Linked DNA regions of Styela clava. The main gene of each other region encodes a partner of the protein of the gene in region 2 in a complex. Links are inferred from orthologs where the notes say so. Each region holds a gene or a part of one and is shown on either strand. Other genes may lie near its edges.

Region 1 (5,731 bases), on a different chromosome or scaffold from region 2:
ATAATTCTTTTTGAGTTAACTGCCCCCCAAACAATGATTTTGACTAGTTTGGCATAGTGACTTCCGACCCTCTGTAATATCGACGTGTCAAGCATCACTATACTGAAAGCAACAGATTGTTAGAAATATTTACACTGCTCTTTCAGAATTGAAAATTCACAGATCATTGATTTTTTATAATTTGTGCAACAAGTTTATTAAGAAAATTCATTGAAATACTTTGCGCTACACATTTACAAAATGTTAAGATCAATATTTTTTTTTCAGATAACTTCCACTCCCACATGATATTAGTTCCAAGGTTTGTCTTGCTTTTCGATATGAGTTGATAGTTCATTTACCGCGTTGCCAAAGAAAATGTGATGGAGAGAACAAATGAAAATACTGGCTGCTTCTACAGCTGCCAATTTTACAGTTATATAAATGTTCAAGTTAAATATCACCTATAATTTTATTTACATATACTATCGCAATAAATAAACACATATATTTAAAACAATAGACTTCTTTTATTCGGAGTAAATGGTATATGCAGGCAATTGGTTAGGAAAAACCAACTTGGCCTTGCTAATAATGTATAGAATGGAAAGGTTTTATTAGTGACTGCTATAACATATTAAGCTAGTAATGTGCTCATCAGGCCTGAATTGTACTAGTACCTCGTCATATATTGCCAAATACTTTTATGCGGAATCTTGTGCAGTTATTTAAGTTCAGAAAATTTTTTCAATGGTTAGTCATACTTTGGTAAAAATTTAAATCTGCTTAAAATGTACTTAGTTTTTGGAGGAGAAATCTGTAAAATCCATTGCAACATCTGCTAGTTTAGCTTCATATACTTCTAAGCTTTTCTCGTCTGGTAGACAGGGTCCGAAAGCTTCCAATAGGAGTTCTTCTGCTACAACTGCTTGTTTGAAATCTGCGAATGAAAGACGACTGTCATGATCAAAATCCATTTTCTTCAATGCTGTTTCAACCAAGTCTTTTACGCCTTCATCTGGATCTTCTTCGGTCGGTTGCTTTACTAAAGAATTTTTCAGCATTTGGAACATTTCCTCACGCGATATGTAACTATCGCCATTAAGATCATACACTTTGAAAGTATAATCAATTTTTTCATCAAGTGTTCCTCTCATGAAAACAGATAAACCTTCAACCCATTCTTTTGTGTTGATGTAAGAGTCACTGTCTGTGTCAAATGCTCGAAAAACACGATCCATAAGTAGATCTTCTGTCATACTGAACCAAACTTGCAAAAAATCTCGAAATTGGTTTCGATCAAGTTTTTCGCCTTTGTTGTTGAAACCTTTGAACAACACAAGCAAGGCTTGGACTTCTCTTCTATTGAAGTGAAGTGTTGGTGCACCTTTGCAGATATCATCTGCATCTTTTTGTAGATTTTTCCTATTAAGTCCATTCATGATATACATTATGTCAAATACACAATATCTTAACTTTAAATTTCTACTTCATTTTCATACTAATGACTCTGTAAAAGAACAGGACATAGTTTCGTTTCAAAGTAAGATTTTTGACCTTTTCCTATCTTCCATTTTTTTTTTACAAAAACTATCAGGAGCATGAAAGCTTTAGAATGGAAGTCAACGAAATTGCTGTAATATTGAAGCGGTGGTTGATTTTTGGTAGATCTATGATGATTATGAACAATAATTTTGATCATTCATACCTACTTAGGTCTAGAGTCACAGAACACTTGAACATATGTTGTTGGGAGATGGTATGGAGGTATACAGATATTTCGCACCGCTGATTTTTCCGGCCACAATGGTTGGTTTGAGTTGTGATTTTTAGTCACCTTGTGAGTTGTTTTTAACAGTACATGTGGAATTGTAGGATAGTTGAGGCTGATACTATGGTAAACAAATATCAATAAATAAGTCAACATATACTTGTAGGCCTAGACTATATTATTATTTTTAAAAAACTCCCAATGCACTGAAAGTCAAAATCACAACTCCTTATGTGGTACCAATAGATTTTGTAATAAATAATTTGCCCAGTCATGATATACGTTGACTGGAAAAACATAAAGACCAAAAAGGCGACTTTCACAATCCAGTTTTTAATGGAGCTTTCTTGTCAGGAGAACAGCTGCCAAAATGCACGTTTCATAGTTAACTACAAAACAGGGGTGGACAACTGTGAAGGCAGTGCCAGTTATTGACTGTACTATTCAGATGGTAATTATAAAGCAGATTCTGAATTGCTATATGTTCAACAACATACAAAGCATTGGGCAGTTCCGCGTGCGAGCAGATTATAGGTTAACGTTAACTGTTATGAAGATAATGTCAAGAACATCTCTATTGCTGACAGCCTCTAACACAGTTTTATCATTCTTTAATATAGTAGGTGATCACGAAATGTTAAACCAACAAATAGTAACAGCCATTCCATTGGCATTTTCGGAACAAAATATGTACAGACGTATAACGTAGTCGATAAACTTAGACTACTTACTACACAGCAATGCTGGAAAGCAAGAACGCGGCGATGCTCGTATCCAAGGAAACCATGTAATCACTAGGTGGCACTCGTGAGATATTGAGAAAAAACTTGAGATGTAGATCAACCGTAAATATGATCAACCAACAAAAACAGTACAAGCCAAGCGTTAGTGTGCGATATCTTGGGGCACTAGGGTTGAAATATTTATTTCAAAACTATGAAAAAATACTTTTTCGGTTATTCAATATAAGTATCTTTATGTATAAGTACATCACATGGCCATAAGCAGAAATTCCTTGTTAGGGGGTTTTCATCGAAACTAATTTTACCAAAACTAAATGCAATGACCATTAATTTTTTTTATTGAAATCCATCCCATTTTTTCACATTTAATATAACAATGATTGTTATATCGTCGGTAGTCATTAGTAACTTTTGTATAAGCAAAATTTCAAATTTATGTAGGAGTTTTCATGACTTGTTCGGTCACGTTCGAAATTGACGTCCCTATTTCATTATATGCTACATCTATTCTATATTCATTCCTGATTTGGTTTTCTTTCTGAAGTCTTTGTTATTATTATTCACGTATTGCCCATGTGCTGATTATTTTGTCATGCAAACAACGACTAACATACCGTGTGCATACCATACCATATTTGGGGAAATAAAATCTCTGCAAATTTACCATTTTATTTCAAGCCATATTCTGATGTTCATGTTCTCACTCGTGGTGGCACTGCAGAGCAATTTACTCACAGTTTCGTTTTCGCTTGACGTTGTGCTGTTCTAGTTCCTTCGCTGTGTGCTAAAACTGTTATCTGGGTACACTGCTTGTTTCAGTATTCTTGAGCTTTGTCAGAGAAAAAACATTGTGTGAGGTGATGGAAGATTCTGAGAACGTGCCTGTGAAAAATTCAGAGGTAAGTTTGCTGTCTATCTAAGTAACCTAGGCTATATTTCTGTGTTTTTAGACTACTGGTACTACAGTACTAAGATTTCAGACTCTTTTAGTCTCAAAGTGTTCTATTCTTGTACGGTACCTTATTCAGTACTGCAATACGGTTAGTCAGCAGTCGAACTACAAAACTGAGCTTAGTTCAATAGATATCGGTTTTCATATTTTATTTATTCAAAAATCTTGTAATTGTCTACTTCTGTACTTTGTAATTTTGTTTTTTTGATAAATGAAAATAAAATCCATCCCCCAAAATAATCCCTAGTGTTATTATTTGAAAAAAAATTGGTATAAGACCTTGTCCTAAAAAAACATGGTATGCTATTTATGAATTCATTCTTTTTAAGTACGAAGTACGATTGTTGTGATGTGTTTTTTCCAATTGTTTGAGTCTGGGTGAATAAGCACAAACAAACAAACAATAGGCTACAAATATTACTCTAGGTTTTGCCCATTTTCACGATCTTTCCGTCTTCATTGTCTGTGTTCTTTATTTATTTTTTTATTTGTATTCTGTGTTGTAGACGAAAGATTGAAATAAAACTATAAATAACTTAAATAACGAGTTGCACATTTAATAACCTATTATGTTCCCAGTTCAGAATGGCACATTTGTATTTATATGTGACAAAGAAACCCTTTAATTCAACTGTCACTGTTAATTTTGTTTGTACTGATGTATATCTCACTTGACTATAACTTAAGGTCAAGATGGAGAATATTGGACAAGGACATCAATTTACAGATGATGAATTGCTTAACATGAGTGTGAGAGATCTTAACAGAAGTTTACGAAACCTGACACCAGAGGTAGTATAAAATCATACTTCATTATAGCAAAACAGATTTTAAAAAGAGAAACGTATGGACAAAAATACAGCAAGTAGACCTGTTATGTTAGGAAAATATATAAAGAATAGAAATTTAGTAGTTTCTATACCAGTGTTTCTCAAACTGTGTGCGGCACACTAGTGTGCCATGAGAGATTCTCAAGTGTGCCGCGGAGCTTTTTGGAATTCTAGAAAATAAGCTGTTTGTATTACACATAGACATGCACGCAACTTATGAGATTTGATAATCCATAATTAATTAGACTGATAATATTATTGCATTTGCCTTGTCTTGTAGTAAGGGGTATTGTTCCAGTATACTTGCGTTGTGATGTGATAATGTTTTTTGTAAAAATGATATCCACCTTCCACTATGTTCAATTGAGCGTTGAGTTAGGCCAGTGGTCGGCAAAATTTGTGTACCTGCGGGCCGAATATACACATTTCCCGTTCAAATGACGATCTGTCAAGCGAGTACGAAGTTTGCAGACCCCTGAGTTAGGCTAACAGGAAAGCCAGTTTGGTTGAGTTTTGGCTATCTGCTAACAAATTCTATTCAATCATCGGTGCAAAATCCATCAAAATAATCTATCCATTTGCATCTACATGGCTCTATTAATCTGTATTTTCTGCTCTGGCTGTAATCAAAAGCAAAAAAGGGAGCGACGGACCCTCGTTTGAGTCGTTTCTCAAAACAGGCACACACATCGCATTAACATTTGTAGAATAATTTGTCCAAGTCTAGCTCAAATTTTTCACAAGTGTGCCGCGAGATTTTTCTTATTTGCTGGGTGTGCCGTGAGCAAAAAAAGTTTGAGAACCACTGTTCTATACGTTCAATATTCATTATAAAGCACTGTATATAATAAACAGCTTACCACAAGGCTTACTCTTGTAACCGTATATGCTGCGTATTGGAACATAGCCTATCACTCCGAATATTGCTGATCTTGATAGACTTCAATGATCATTTTTTTTAGAACATAGATTTTAAAAAATTTGTGGACCCAACTGTTTATTTATCAGTCATCTACATTTCATATTGGAAATTTTGAAGGTTTGCTTCTGATGTGGAAACTTGGTCCACCTTAATGTTTAGGAATGTGTTACCTGAAGTAGGGCAGTGTCAGTGATATGCTAAATGGATTTCTTATGATGCAAATTGAAAATATATATCAAAATATTTTTTCATAGGAAAGTAGGAGATTAAAACAGAGAAGGCGAACATTGAAGAATCGTGGTTATGCAGCATCATGCCGTATCAAACGATTAACACAGAAAGATGAACTGGATTTACAAAGACAGAAGCTGCAAAAAGAGGTTGGCGCGAATAATGATTATCCAGATTAATATATATATATATAACTTAAATGTCAAAATATATTGAATATTCAACCACCGGTACTACTTTACTGTATCAATAGTAAATTTTGCAGAAAAAACGTCAATTTGACTCGATTTGCAAGTAGAGATG
Region 2 (7,431 bases):
AAATTGAAAGTGGACCTTTATGCATAATATTTTTAAAAGTTCGAGAACCACTGATCTAATTCAATACAGATGGGAAAGCAGTTTGTTGGATATACACATCAACCTTACTGGATAATGAAACATCACATGCAAAAGCTTCGGTTTAAAAAACTTTAGCGTAAGCTAGTATCAATCGTTCATGTTTCACTATGAATAGGTCCAGGAATACTCTCGCTCCCACCGTTGGTGATTGTTTAAAACAGTGTTTCCCAACGTGTCAGTCCGCAGACATTGGCTACAAAGCGCAGCGTTCAGGTACTGGTAAGTTACTGTTGCTGTTTAGGTTCGTTCATGATGTCGTATGATTTTGTGGGAATTGATGGCAAAACATTTCGTTATGGACTTTGTGTCCATATGTTTGAGCATAGCTCTCTTGTTAGTTAGTTCTAAATTTTTCAATTTAACAAAGTCAATGAATTTCGTCGTTTTGCATGTCTCTTTGTACATGTAGTCCTATTTAGTAAACGCTAAACCTAATTTTAGAACTTTTTATTGAAAAATATTTCCAATGGGATGGAACGGGCTTACATATCTATGGGATGGGACAGAAAAATATGTCCCATGGACAAGCCTGCAGATCCAAGCGAAAGAGAACAGGAGTTACATTTAGTGGTATGATTCACACTTTTTGTCAGCCAGTTCCATCACAAAAGTCATATTTTTTAGCCGGTTCTGTTACAAAAAGTCATATTTTTTTGGCAAATAAACTGATTTTTTTTAACTACTCCCTAATTAACAATTCAAAAAAATGGTTGGGTAAACATCATTTTGTCAAAATTTTTGATGATGTTTAGGATTGTCTATAAAAATAAAAATATTGCTGTATAGTGTATATATTTATTTTATATTGATCCATTGACAGTAACCAGTAGTTCTAACCGGTTCGCTGATCACATAAAATTCCGTGAGACGGTGCTATAGAACCGATGCGAACCGGCTTAATCCCACCACTGGTTACATTCAAGTGTATCCCATATTTGGAAATATAAAAAAATATGTAGCATGATGAATGATAATTATCCCAAGTCGATCAAGACTCTTCAGGATAGTCATCTTCACTCTTACTACAGCATCCTTGCACTATATGAACACGGATCCACCGACACAAAAAATTAAAGAAACATAATAGTTAGTCCCTGAGACACCCAATCGATAGCACATGATGATAATTGTTTTAATTCAGCTAATGCTGCTGTATGCTGATGTGCATCGCTCCTCTAAAACATTCACATCTATGCTTTTTATGTAAGGGGGAATACTAATCGGTAATAGATTCCTGGAACAGTATAGGTAATTATTTATTTATTGAATATGGTAGTAAATTGAAACTACTCGCAAATATACTTTCTACTGTTGAATAATCACAGCAAAGCAAAAATTTTCTTATGTGAAGTGATCCATTTTCGGGCCCATTTTCTCGAGAAGAGTGTGAAGTAGGTATGTAAACTTTGCGTTTATATTATTAACCTTTTTGACGCATTTTACTATGCACCACAGTCACTAGTTGCTGTCGTTATTTCTATTTAGAAAAGTGGGTTGTTACGGATAAAGTTTTATGACGAATTTAATTATACATATTTTTTTAAGAATATTGGCGTTTACTGCTTACGTATGGTGGACTTTGTTTGCGAGACACGCATTTATAAAAATCAACCCTGCAGAAACCTCGTCGGCATAATTGTTCATTAGGTTAAAGGCATTCATAGCGTTCTGTGTTCTTATTTCGAACCGTATGCTAGTTCTATTGGGAGTTGCACTTGGCAAACGCCGCAGTGGTTTAAAAACATACCAATACCTTCAAAGAATGTCGTTGCATTATTAGAATGACAGTAAACTTAACAAATTGAGGTTGAAAAAAAACTCGATCTCTGTGCCCGACCTACTGCTGTAACATACTTAAAAGTGAAATAACATTCTAGGCTATTTTTTGTTGTCTTAAATCATCTAGATTTAATACTTTATGTGGGTGTTGTCTGTAATTCTGTACCCAGTCTTATTTTGTATATCTGTATATATATCTTATTCAGGTATATATTCAGTTCTTCTCAGGTTACTCTTTTATACACGAGGATTCTCCAACAACGGCCGGGGGAGTGTGTTTTTACATAAAAGACTATGTTGAATATTTCAAAACAGATGAATATAAGCTTAATCTTGTTGGCTGGAAGGATCTGTGGATAAGTGTCAATCTAAACAATAGCAAACAAGTGATTGTACCGGAAATATATAGACATGCCAAACAAGCTCGCAAAAAATTCCACACATTGCTAAACGAGTCGCTGCACAAAATTATGATAAACAAGAAAACAGCTTTCTTTCTTGGCGACTTTAAAATAAATTTGTGCAAAACTTCTGATTCCTTCGTTTTTGAATACTCAAACATGTTACTGTCTAATTCATTACAAGTGTTCACAACTGCGCCTATACCAGAATCACTGATATCTCTTGCACCTCAATTGATCACATATATATACAGCAACGAAAACGATTTACAGTTGTTGGATTATGCCTTGTGGTATGGTATTTCTGACCATCTTTTCAGTGTGTATACTTCGCAATAAACCATTAAAAAAGAATTCAGAGACAAAATTTGTGCGATCATTGAAATACTTCCACCTTGAATCATTTTTGGAAGACATTGAAAACTCAACAGCTAAATTAAATATTGACTGTTTATTCAAGCTTGATATTGAAAAATCATTCGGTACGCTTCTGGAAACTCTAAAATCGGTTGTTGACAAACATGCCGCACTGAGGAAAAAACACCCAAAGAACTGAGATTTGTCTCGAAACCATGTTTCCCAATAGATATCAAGAAATTAATCTCGACTCATAAACGTTTTGTATAAATGTCATTTTTTGTCGACAGACAAATCAAAAATAAGGTATCACAAAAGATACTTCAACATTCTCTCACACATCAAGAAAAAGGCTTAAACGAAATTTTACAAAGCAGAATTTAAAGAACTATAGAGGGCGACAAAAAGAAGACTTGGAGTCTCATTAACACAATCACCAATAAGAAACGTAAACGAAATTTTCCACACGAAATTGAGACAACTCATAGAATCATATACAACCCCCAGTCCATATGCCAAGAATTTAACACTTACTTTGTAAATTTTGGACCTAATCTTGCATCGAAGCTAGCAAATAATTCTATAAATTTTATGAAGTATTTGGGCAAACCTCAGAAAAATTTAATCTATCTGGAGCCTATACTAGAATATGAAATTATTTCCATCGTTAACAAAAAGGATTAAAGAAAGGCTTTTGAACGGACGGTCTGTCTATTCGTTTTCTATAACTTATGATTCGTATCATTAGCAAGGACCTTACAGATTTCTTTAAAGAAGGGTCGCCTAACCCGTGGCCAGCGGAAGCATTTTGAGTGGCCCGCGCCGTATTTTTCAGAATTGGATAAAAAAATTGGAGTAAATCTATTTTTTGAGTGATGTAGTATACAAAGATGTGATACAAACGATTTGTATATTTTCCTGAAATGCGCTCTGCCAGCCCTTGCAAACGAGACATTAGGGTCATTTCGAATCGAAACCAACTTGGAGGAAATATCGATAAATAAAGGTGCCATAGCCGCTTACACACTTGGTCTTTAACTACTCTATATGATGTTATCGCAAAACAATAGAAGCCATTCTCAGATTGAGAATTCGCTAATGAATGTATATTATATATTGTTCGGGTTGCCAATGTTTTACGTCCGGAAATAAAAGAGGTGTTTGCAAAAATAGCCTGTCAAGACAGACCATAACTCGTCATGTCAAAGAACTTGAGAAGTCTAACAGCGGAGACTTCAATTGCAAAGGCGGGAAAATTTTCATCGTATTCCTTGGCGCTTGACGAAAGCACTGGCATCATGTAGTCATCAATGCTGGCATCAAGGTTACTGCTCAGTTGGCGATCTTCTTACGGGGAGTTAATAATGATTTCGAAATTACCGCAGAGCTTGCAGCAATAGTCCTTACTAAGGGCACGACCTGCGGCATTATTGTTCCAATCTTTATGAAACTACGCAACGAGAAACCATAATGAAATGCCAATAACAGAGGTTAAACATCCTACTCGCGAATGCGCGATGAAGTCCTGGAAGGAATTCTCAGTTCCCCGTCATCAAAGGTCCTTTCTGAACTGCGGACGATTTTCGTTAAATGTATTTTTTGAAATTAATAAGTAGAAAACTAAGTCGACTCTATGTAAATAGTAAGCGTCAAAATTTTAAAAAAATATATAAAATGAAATTCATCAAAAATAATTTCTGTGATAACCCACCTTTAACACCTTCTTTTCATATTGACTCCGGTAAGCACTTCTCACTGATGTTTGAGCAAAGTTGTTGCTACCGGCAACGTTTCGTGTTCATTCTCTAAACCGGCACGATTCTGGTTTACGTGATCTGCGCGGTTAGTTGTTTGGAGGTATATTTGTGACTTCAAAGTTATACTTTTATTTCATCGCTGTACCGATATAATACAGCGCCTCAACAGCAATATGAGAGGTCAGTCAGGAATGCATAAACCTCCAATTCAAGAACAAATATCGGAAATCACCAAAAAAATTTCGCTTTTGGGTAAGTTAGTAATTTTTAATTACCGCAGTCCAGAATGGTGTATGTCTGTATCATGGTGTTTTGCGGTATCAAACCCTACACACTGACACATTATTATAATTATTTGTAGCCTATATGTTATTTTCACTCAATGATATACTTTATTTTCACTTAAATTCTGGTAAGTTAGATCAATTGTCAGAATGTTGAATGAACTCATTACAAGTCTCAGTGATCATCACTGCATTTATATATTTGTCATCAGAATATTTTAGTATTATTGTTTTTTATTATCTCTTTTAATCCAAATATCAGTAGGACACAGTTCTCCGATTCCAAGGATAGTCCCCATATTAAAAGACATCAATTATAACAGTGAATGCAACCCATTTCTTCTTGAGACAGTCTGGGCCTCCATACTGACGAAAAACCGGCACTGCACAACAAACTAAAAGACAGCGCAATCCAAAAATGCCTCATATTTTCGTTTTATTGAAAAAAATTTTACCATAGCTTTCGAGAGTTTTTAGCTAAAAACGCCATGATAAATTTAAATTATTGAAACAAGCATGGCCCTTGTCGCCCTTGTTTCAGAGATAAATTGTGTGTTTGTTTTATTGAACCAAATATTAAGACATCTTGGAATCAGAGAACTGTGCTCTATTGAATTTAGTGTGATTTCACTACTGGGTTTGATTTTAACCTCATTTTAAACTTTAGTTTGTCAAAAGATCAAATTTTCTCACTGATCAGTCAACTCATAATTTATATTTTTATAGAGGGTGATCGTAAAGCTTATTATGAAAGTTCACAATGGTCAATCAAGAAGAACAGAGAGATTATCGCGAGAATGAGACAAGAGAATAAAACATTGCACAAGACATTAGCAGATCTGCTTGCGGTAAGTAGCCTATTCTGTGTGAGAATTAAGAATATTTTGTGAATTCTCTGTATCCTCTAGCTAGCATTGTTTACATTTTTAGAAAACAACCTCCAAAGTTTTCAAACTTCACAATCTGTGCAATTTGGCTCATGTTTTTTCAATTACATTCGTGTTTTTTAAATTTGTTGAACATGCTTTTTGATTTGTTCAGGGAGATGATAAAGTTATAGATGAAGCATTTGAAGGTAGACATGTGGAACGAGCAGCATTGCGTAACAAGTCTGGAAAAACTGCTATCATGATTATAGATCAAAAGGTTATTTTATTTATTTTTCAATTTTGACAATATACTTTTATACAACTTCAATATAAAGGTGTTCTTTGGTGAGATTTGTGAAGTGCCTTTCTAGCATGTGACTACTTTGTATCCAAGTCATTCTACAATAAGTTAAACCTGCTATGAGTTGGAATTGACCTAAAATTAAAAGTATTACCAGAAAATTAATTTGAATCTAGTAAAATATTGTATTGTAATATTGTAATCTAAAATTTATCAATTCATGTGTAATTTTATTTGTATTATTGCTCCTAACCTTGTAAAATTATGCCCAGGTTTGTGACAGTAAGAAGAGATTGAATGCTTTGAAATCGACGAGTGAAGCAAGAAAAAGAAAATTGAATGAACTTCAAACCCAACATGATCAGATGGTGAAGGACAAATCAGCTGCTGAAGAGTTAGATAAAGGAGAGAGTGAATCAGCTCAGGTAAATATGATTTTTTTTCATGCGTAAAATAGTTCAATTTTCTTTTGTGATTAGAAATTTGTTTTATTTAACTTAAGGAAAATAATCAATGATAGCATCTTTATTATTTCACACAGCCTTCACACATCATTTCCAATCCTGCAAACAATGCCCAATACAGAGATATTGTGAAATTTGATACTGGTCGATATTTCCTACAGATAATGAGAACATTTTTATGTCAAAATACAATTTGACTTTTCAGTAATAATCTGGTATAGAATTTGAATTGTTAAATCATCGATCAATCCATCTATGAATATTCAATTTTATTCTTGTTATGATTCGTCTGAATTCAAGTTTTAGCAAAACTTAGTCATGCTCACTGTACGACATGAGGTGTACATGCATCATTTTGCTAAATTGTTATTATTGGGAAAATTGTCTTTCACCGCAACAAGGGGATCAATCTCAAATCAATTTCAAATCTTCAGTATTTAAAGATGAAAATAGATGCTAGATGATAATTACTTATATATTGTTTTAATTTTCCATGAGTCATATTGGCCCCCATATTTACCCAAATTTATTTTTTATTTTTTAATTTATGGAAACGCTTTTTACGAAGTATGGAAACACTGGTATATGACCCTTGTGTCAACATATTTGAGAATTGTTTTTATGTTTACATTACAATAGCATTTAAGACAACTGGAAAATCGTTTGGATAAAGCAAGATTAAAAAGTCAGGAAGCAGATCACATCAGTAAAGTTTATGAAAAAATCAAAGCCCATTTACAACAGGTGCGTAAGTCAGTAGAACCTATTCGTGATAAACAGCCGGTTGGAAACTCATTTGCAATAAACAATGTTACACAGTACAATTGCAAAACAGTGATTGCAAGGATCATTTTAGGTAGTTTCATCATTTTATTGTGAGAGAATTATCTTGAAATTCAATTAAATGAAAATTGTTCATTTATTCATTATTCCTATAAAAGCATATGCGAAAGCAAAGGAGTATTAAAATATCAATTATTCAAAACAAAATATTTGTGTCGAACAGATGACAATGGAATTGTTTCTATCACACACATAAGAAGGAACTTGTCTATAAACTGTGTTTATTTTAACAGGAGAGTCTGACTTTCCATAATCAATTAGATGCTCAGGAAGCAGATATATTAAAAACAAGACA

The links.
Region 1: outer dynein arm-docking complex subunit 3-like (region 2) and calaxin-like share a complex: the UniProt entries of both Homo sapiens proteins name them as parts of the outer dynein arm-docking complex. The link is inferred for Styela clava from reciprocal best matches to the Homo sapiens genes ODAD3 and CLXN.

Annotation. Positions count from the first base shown.
Region 1 is NC_135260.1:14,792,995-14,798,725, reverse strand, and holds calaxin-like, read right to left. Parts: upstream 1,510-5,731; 5' UTR 1,431-1,509; coding exon 777-1,430; 3' UTR 523-776; downstream 1-522. Other genes in the region: NFU1 iron-sulfur cluster scaffold homolog, mitochondrial-like, read left to right, coding at 268-288; transcription factor MafK-like, read left to right, coding at 3,354-3,392, 4,133-4,237, 5,452-5,577. UniProt on the Homo sapiens protein: Component of the outer dynein arm-docking complex (ODA-DC) that mediates outer dynein arms (ODA) binding onto the doublet microtubule. Seems to regulate the assembly of both ODAs and their axonemal docking complex onto ciliary microtubules.
Region 2 is NC_135254.1:24,001,009-24,008,439, forward strand, and holds the start of outer dynein arm-docking complex subunit 3-like, read left to right. Parts: upstream 1-4,399; 5' UTR 4,400-4,548; coding exon 4,549-4,627; intron 4,628-5,385; coding exon 5,386-5,507; intron 5,508-5,700; coding exon 5,701-5,805; intron 5,806-6,101; coding exon 6,102-6,254; intron 6,255-6,932; coding exon 6,933-7,037; intron 7,038-7,369; coding exon 7,370-7,431. UniProt on the Homo sapiens protein: Component of the outer dynein arm-docking complex (ODA-DC) that mediates outer dynein arms (ODA) binding onto the doublet microtubule. Involved in mediating assembly of both ODAs and their axonemal docking complex onto ciliary microtubules.